Oryzias latipes: one gene and its partner. The protein of the gene in region 1 purifies or fractionates together with the protein of each later gene. This does not show direct contact. Links are inferred from orthologs where the notes say so. Each region holds a gene or a part of one and is shown on either strand. Other genes may lie near its edges.

Region 1 (3,819 bases):
AATTTGATACAACTTTGACCACAAAACACATTTTTAAAATAAAAAAAAACGCTGTTTCTGTTCCATTATCTCTGCTAGACAACACGCTTCCCCAGCTGCTAGTTATGTTTGTGGCTGTTGCTTAAAACTCTTCCATGCATCAGCTTCTATATGCTGGGAAGTAGCTGTAAATAACAAGCGGGATTCTGGGAAAAGCCACAGTGTCACCAAGCTTTTACCAGAAGTTGAAAGAGGAGGGGCCAAGGGAAAAAAATACTCAGTGTAAAAAAAAAGAAGAAAAAATCAGTTGAAACAGGTAACTTTTTTTATTTATACTGTTTCTACAACATTGTCAATTTATTCAGAATTGAAGTGCCACCTCTTGTTAAGCAAAGAGCGTTGATCTTTGTCCTCAGTGTGAAGGAGTGCGTACGTTTAGATGGTCTTACAGCAAGGTCACACAGTGAGGTCTGGGGGTGGGGGGTTAATCCGGTAAATGCTGTCACGAGGCTAATTACAGGCTAATTAAAGCCTGCTGTTGTGGTTCTATAAACCTGTCGACTACCTTCTCATGGCTCGGTTAGCCTGTTTCACATACATCCAAGCAGATGTCTGAGACGCACAAAATGCAAGACTTGTTCTATAAAATAGGAGAAATGGGCTACTCACTTTGACTAACCGGCACAAACACAGTGCATCCTCCCAGCGTGCAGAGCTGCAGTATTCATGCAGCAGTGCAATGTATGGCGGCACACTGCTGTACACCAGTGAACCGTCGCCCTGGCGCAATGTCACTTTGGTGCCTGAAAAGTTCAGAATGCGGGGCGCACTGTTGAACTCACTGCACAGAGACACACAGAAAACATACACAGATGTGAAATGTTGAAACATGAAACCTTCACCTCACTTTTGGGTCACAGAAACACAGTTTTCAGGCTGCTTTTTCCTGAATTAGAAGTCAGAAGAGGTCAAATTATATTTGTATACAATCTGCTTCATTGGATTTGAAGGAAAGGAAATTAGTCTTTAGCAATCCCTGATTCTTTAAATCCTTTTAATACTAATAAATATACTAAACTTAGGTAGCTGAACGATCTAAAAACAATCTTACAATTATACGTGTTTAGTATTTTAAACCATAGAAAAAGTCTAGGGTTTAAATCCTAGAGCAGCAGAGGTGCCGAGGTAGAATAGTCAACCTTTGATTGACAGATTGCAGGTTTGATTTCTTCCCTGCCTGCTCATGTGTTGAAGTATCCTTGGGCAAAACACTGAACCCCAGATTGCTCCTAGTGGTTAAACTTTGGCACCAGTGTTGGGCAGCGGAGCCGCCATCAGTGTGTAAATGCGTGAATATTCCTCAATGCTTTATAAGTATACACCAAGTACCTTTACCGAAAAATGAGAAGGACATGGTATTGTAGAATTGTCTAGTAAAACTATGTATCATATTTTAAAGACTTAGTTATTGCAAAAACATAAAGGCACCAACTAAAGTTTTACTAATAACTGGCTAACAAAAGATATAACATCATGTTAAAATATAATATCATGTTTTGAATGTCTTTACTGAAAAAGTAACCAAATTATAGTTATTTAATAAGTAGAGGTATGCAGATAATCAGTATTATATTTGACTTTAAATTTACAATAGCAAGTGATGAAATTATTAAAAGTTTACTTGAAAATTATTTTTTTTTTATATTTGAAAGCTGGTTTAAAAACTAAAGTACTCTCAGATTTTGATCCATCATGCAGTATCACCTGACACACACCTGGTTTCACATGGCTTTATTCCTTTTTCAAAAACAAAAAAATTCTAGCAATGATGGCAGATTCTGACGAATGCAGTACAAACATAATCAAACACAATGGAAACCTGATCATCGAGGCAGTAACAGATCATCCTGGCAAAGAACATCCTGGCATGTCTTCCAGTAAGACTACTTAGAGAAGTTATAAGAGATTTTGGATAAAAAGGATTTAGGCTGTGCAGAGGAATAAAGTCGATTGTATCAAACATTGACCCTCAAGGTTTTTTAAAATTGAACAGCATTTTTTTTTCATCTATCTGTATTTTCTTGTATGTCTTGCAATTAACTCCTGTATCTGGTAAAGATCTCTGGTAGTAAGAAATGAAAACTGGCTGAGGACTTTTGCATTTTACTTCATAACATTCATTACACGTGTTCATACATACAGGAAGAGATTTTTGGCTCCAAAAAAATATAAAATTTGATGAAGGTTTTGTGATTTACTATACATGCAGTGAATATTATTACCATCATTTTTTTTAGCTTCTTAACATGAATAAAATATTATTGGTAATAGTTAAAAATTCATAAGTTAAAACATGTTTTTCAAAAACTATTAAACATGTTTCTAAAAGTAATAACTAACAACCTAATTAGCTCTTTCTAGTGAATAATTGATGCTTTTCAAAGCAGCCTTAAAAATCAAGCAAAGCTTATAACATTTAAAAGTGCTTTAAGTGTCAAGTTGGGAATTTATTAATATACACAAGTATTAGTATTTTACATTTAGAAAAAAAAAGATTAAAACTTTATTAACATAACTAGCAGTGAGCCCTTAAAGAACAATTACAATGTAAGTAAGAAGGAATCATCCATTAACAAAAAAACAGTTACACCACACCCACCTGTTACATTTAATATAGATTTACCTGCTGTCTCGTATGTGCAGCGTTTTAGGTAGAAGTTCCTTATCCGTGAAGACAACACTTGGGTAACACCACACAGTCAGCTGATTGTCTTGAATTCCACAAAGGATGTTCGCAGCATCATTCCATGCTATATTGTCCACCATAGTGCCTATAAAAAAATGTAAAGACATCCGTATTTAAAAACGGAGACTACCACTACAGATTTTTCCAGGTGGAATCCTTTGCCCCCCCCTTATGACTCACCGATTTTGCAGATTTTGGTTTCTCGCCCAAAATGACGCACAGAGGCCAAGTAAAGGTCGCGGTTTTTATCTATCAGTGCAATTTTCCTGTCAGTGGCTGGGCCACACTGATCCAGAGCTATTTCCACCACCTCCAGCTGCACACAAAAAAAAAGAGAGAGACACACACACAAAAGTAACAAGGTAAGAAGGACGTGAGGAGAAAATGATGGAGTGTGGACAAACAGTCAGGAAAAGAAATAAAGGGAGAAACCGTTTGCAGAGTAAGCCGACAACCTGCCAAGTTTTAGTGTGTGTACGAAAAACAGAGAGACAAGGTATGGCAATGTGTGTTAGTGAACCTGTGTGTGTTTTTGACTTGTGCTCGCTGGCTTTGGTACAATACCTTAAAGCTTTTGAGTCTTGGCAGACAAAGATTGCTGACAAACACCAACTTGCTGCTACCTCTACATCTTTTTCGCGCTGCTATAATTCCATGTCACTTGCTTTTTGTACACTGAAAACCTTTTATACATTTTTCTGAATGTGTCTGTTATCTTTCTTCAGCTGTGAACTTCCTGCAAACATGATTTAATATTCCTTTGAATTACAACATTTTACTTTTGACCCTCGTGCTGGGATTTAGTTGCCCCAAGATCGAAAAAAAGTGTATATTACTAAAACAAAAACACAATTATCACTTTCAACTGTTGTTTTTGGAATTTTTACAAATACCTGTAAGAAAAACAAAACAAAGAAAATAAAAATGAGTAAAAATGTTTCACTGACTTTAACATACATACAAACATACATTTTTGATGTACATAAAAATAAATAATATCAAAATTATAATAAAATAAAAAAACAAGAAAAATATCCAACTTTGACTGACCTCCCTATTTTAATCAGCATATAAATGTCAGCAATGAATGCATA
Region 2 (4,515 bases), on another chromosome or scaffold:
TGGGCACTGAGGGCCGCATTCCTGCATGTTTTCCAGCATACCCTGCTCTGGCATGTTCTAATTGGCTGGACACACCTGAACCAGGTAATCAGTCATGAGTAGGGCAAGATTATTGGCTGGACACACCTGAACCAGGTAATCAGCCATGAGTAGGGAAAGGCTATCTTGAAATCATGCAGACACACCGGCCCTCGAGGCCTGGAATTGCCCACCCCTGTGGTAGAAAATGCCTCACTTCCAGCCCCAACCAAAAGAAGTCAATTCAGTCGCCTTTTTTTTTTTGCATAACGGATGCCGCCACGTTGAAACCAAAGGACGTCAGAGTGGTAGGACCGAATCGATCAAAGTCATCATTTCTATGGCAACCACTCTCGCCAATCAGGAGTGAGCTTGTGGAAGTCCACACCCCTAGCACTTTAAAGCCGGCTCGGGAGAATCTGTCAAACGTTTTGAACGTTCAATGTCAGGACACATGCTTTTATTGAGGCACCTGATTGGTCGGTTTATAACTTGAATAAATTGAATCATAGAAGAAATATCAGAGGGAAAAAATTTGGATTATGAAGAACATATTAAAAAGGTATCAGAGCAATAATGGTCATCCTGACACATAGAATGACTGAGTAAGAGTTGTTTATTTATCGATGGAAGTCTTTGGCTTCTTGGAGCCAGCGGGTCCTTCCTATTAGGAACGCGAGGGGGGGGGGGGGGGGGGGCGGAGTCACTCAGTCCAGCTCTCATCTACAGTCAATGGGAGTGCTCTCTCTTGTCTGTATAAAGACAAGTTTTTCTCACATTGTGGAAGTTCCGCAACTTCAGAGACTCCAGATCCATCGCAATTTCCTCCTCATCCTCATCTTCCTCCTGAAGTCACAATTAGAAAACAATCTTTTAAAAAATCAAATACAAGAATGAAAAACAAAAAGGACACCAGTTTTTGCAAAAGCGGCGTTGAAATAAGCTGTCAGCATTTTTCTCTGTGAAGTGCTGACCAATATTTCCTCCTCTGCTGTGCTGAGTGTGACTTCTGCATCGTCCTCCAGCATCGACTCTTCCTCCGGGGTTTCTGACGGGTAATCTGGCCTAAAGGGGAGGAGGGAGAAGAACACTTCATCTCAAACTGGAGCAGCCAGTGAGGCCTCGCTGTTGTCAAATCTGTAAAGTCCCACCACAGTGATCTATCTGATGTACTGTAAAAGTGTCCCCCAGTGTTTTTTTAATTATGATGGTGCAGATTTTAGCCAAAATTAAAAAAAAAAAAGTGTCCTTTACTAGGATATCGTTTCTGCAGAGCAGCAACAGTTCATTAGAAATACACCTTTAAGTTGTGGGGGGGACTATTGGGGCAGAGAAAGCCTGTCCTCATTTCCCATCATCCCTTTGTTTTACACTCTCTTCCACTAGCTTACAGTCCCTCACATCCCCAACCTAACATCACCGGTACAACAAAATATGGGGAGCCATATTGCAGCTTCAGGAAGGTCATTTTATGCTTTACTTTCTTCATATAGGTCTTCTATAATGAGAAAAATGCCACAAAACATTAAAAACACCACAAACACAATTTTAATCGGAGATCTTTAAGGTGTGGCGGCCTGAACTTAACCAAACTGACTTCTGACCACAACCGGTATTGTTGGGACCCAAGAAGAAAGACACTCCAACCTTGCAGCTGTAAAACTGCTTCATTCATTCCAGTCTTGAACTGGCTCCAGTACCAGCCTAGAACCCGTGTCTGGCCCAAAAGATGTCCCAGCGTAAAGCAGAGCAGAAGCACCTTTTGAAGGAGAAGTTTCTCCTCTTCAAAGCCTCGTCGGCCAGTCGGTCCAACACCAAGCAGACGTGCTCGCCTGAGCCCGTCTTCAATTTGGAGGGAGGGAAGTCCACCTTTACGCCCTGAAACCCACCAGGGTCACAGTCAGAGGTCGTCCTCACACATCTGAGATCAGAGTCTAAGTCACACAGAAAGGGACATATTGGATCATCTGCATGTGAAACAGCAGCTCACAAAGGCTCTCAGCTCCGCCAGGATGTTGGACACGGTGGCGTTGGGCTCGTCGTGCTCCCGGGGTTCGGTGAACGGCCTCCCTGCCACGTTGATGAGCCAGGCAGCGATGATGGTGAACATGTAAAACTGCTCACCCGGATTGGAGGACAGGTGGGAGTTGGAGACAAAGTAGTGCCTGGGAAGAGAAGGAAGAAGATACATGAATCACAAGATCAGATCATGTTTGAAATGAAACACATTTAGGAAGACAACTTCAATAATAAGCAGTCTGGAAAGATGTATTACACTTTAGGCATTTATTTGTAGACTTACTGCTATTTTCTTAAGTGTATTTAAAATTGATTTAAAATTGTATAAAAATAAAGATTTAGTGCTCGGGAAAAGTACAAAATGTGATCAAAGCTGTTTTCAACTTTTGTCTTTGTTTTTTTCATTTAACACAATCGACGGTCCAGCTCAGGTTCTGTTCTATTAGCTCTGTTCCGGCAGATATCATCACTGCTTCTTATCGTGTTCTGCTTCAAAACGTCGTCTTCAGGGAGCTGAAATTCAGCTTAAACCCGTCATTTGGCTCGTTTCGTTCCTGACCTGCACACTTTCTTCATGTTGTGTTTGTCCAGAAGCTCCTCGTAGTTCAGAGCGTCGAGCTTTTCTAACAGTCCCTCCATCACCGACACCATCCGGTGAGCGGCTCCCGGGCCCCGCTCATCCTCCTCTGCCATGAGCCCAGCTACTTTTCAAACCGCTTTAAAATCCACTAAAAAAATAAATGTTTTCTGGGGCCTTGTTTGTTCGATTAGCACACGCTGCTCTGCTAGCTCAGGTTGACTGTAGGCCCGTTGCCTAGCAACCGAAAGCTAAGTAGCCCTTTTCTTAACACGTATTTCTTTTTCCTCCCTTTAAACTTTAAATATGCGCATTGAGAATTTGCTCAACAGCAACAAAACAACATTCAAACTGTCTGGAAAACAGAATGGGTGTGACCAAGTTCGAGGGCTCCGTCCTTAGCATAAGAAACTTGGTAGATTTGTTTGCTAACTTGAGTTTGATCTCTTCTTCTGCTAGAATATAGAGTCAAACATCGCCCCCTAGAGGGCGGGAGAGGGACCTGAATATTGGGACTGGGATTTTGTTCTTAAAATGAAAATATCCTTTTTGCATTTACTGAGGCATTTGTACACAAATACACCATGCAAGAAATTCTACTGTTATTTTGATTGTACTATCTTAATCTCAGATTAAAAAAGAAGGTAATTTATGTCCAACAGTGCATGGAGCCATCTAAAAGGCTTAAAGTTAAAGTGCATCATCTTTCTGTTATTCTAAAGTGAAAGGAGCAAAATGAAAATACAAATGTTTAACAACCTGCTGATAGTGGGGAAAAAAAATTCCAAAAAAACCCGTTAAAACTACTTCATTTTTTTTAGGTATGTAGAAGGAACTTAAAATGTAAGGTATTTTGAAACTGAAGGGTCAGCTGTAAATTTACAAGGACATTGGAATTAAGATATTTTCAGATTAAATTGATTTTTTCTTTAATGTTTTATGATGCTGCTCAGGCATTATTATTAAATACGTTTTTTGGGTTTTTTTTTTGCCAACAGGGTGTCTGTGTTTTTCTTTCCTTATAATTTTGACCAATACTGTCATAATTTTGGGTACATATTTTTTGGACAAACTTTTTTATTTTCACATTTATTTTGAAGATTTCTTTTAGAAAAAGGTTGACGGGGTGCATAATCATTACAGTATAACACCCATCATTGTGCTTGTTTCTTTTTTAATACACTTATTGACAAAAAGAAAAAAGGTACGAAAGCAAAATTAAATGGAATTCTTTTTTTTAAAGGAAGCAAAATCTCTACATATAGATAAAAGATAATAAACAGATAATGTCACCTTTAAACTTTGATTAAATTCCTTTACAATTAAATGCATATGGTTTTTTTTTTTTTGGGGGGGGGGGGGGGGGTGTTTCGTTTTTGCACAGAACCTCATAATCTAATTAAATTCCAAAACAATTCCCCAAAAAAGTTTTTCCTATAATGGATTGTGGGTGTTTGTCAGTTTGCCAATAAGTTTGTAAGGAGTTCAAACCTTTAACTTCGGTGTTTTTAAGTAGAAACACATTTGTTCATCATACAGCGTTTAACTTGCAGAACTTTATTGACACAGTAAGATGAGTAACACTTGTCACGGAGAGCGTCTCTGCGTCAGGCTGAAGAGGCCCGACGTCCTTTCAGTGAGACGTTTCTCAAATGGAAAAGTCTCTTCATGTCTTTCCTCCTTTTAAAAACATCTTCTGCATCTGGAGACAAAATGTAGGAAATAATCCTCTGAAGAGGTACAAACAGTAATAGCTTTAGTGTTCACGCGTGACAGAACACGCGAGCGAACGCAGGAGTGGAGGAGGCGTCCTGCCGCTGCTCCCACTTCCATCTGCTTCAAAGCACAGCTCTGAACCTGTAGATGCTCACTGCAGTAGTTCTGAGAGAAAGATCTGACAT

The links.
Region 2: the proteins of ift80 (region 1) and ift57 purify together in Homo sapiens (affinity purification with mass spectrometry; 3 studies listed by BioGRID and IntAct, counting the BioPlex papers as one, with this or other methods). This does not show direct contact. The link is inferred for Oryzias latipes from reciprocal best matches to the Homo sapiens genes IFT80 and IFT57.

What each region holds. Positions count from the first base shown.
Region 1 is NC_019871.2:13,452,857-13,456,675, forward strand, and holds part of ift80 (intraflagellar transport protein 80 homolog), read right to left. Parts: intron 3,042-3,819; coding exon 2,906-3,041; intron 2,811-2,905; coding exon 2,663-2,810; intron 821-2,662; coding exon 649-820; intron 1-648.
Region 2 is NC_019875.2:10,101,514-10,106,028, forward strand, and holds the start of ift57 (intraflagellar transport protein 57 homolog), read right to left. Parts: upstream 3,108-4,515; 5' UTR 2,731-3,107; coding exon 2,597-2,730; intron 2,184-2,596; coding exon 2,009-2,183; intron 1,897-2,008; coding exon 1,778-1,896; intron 1,084-1,777; coding exon 993-1,083; intron 865-992; coding exon 796-864; intron 1-795. UniProt on the Homo sapiens protein: Required for the formation of cilia. Plays an indirect role in sonic hedgehog signaling, cilia being required for all activity of the hedgehog pathway.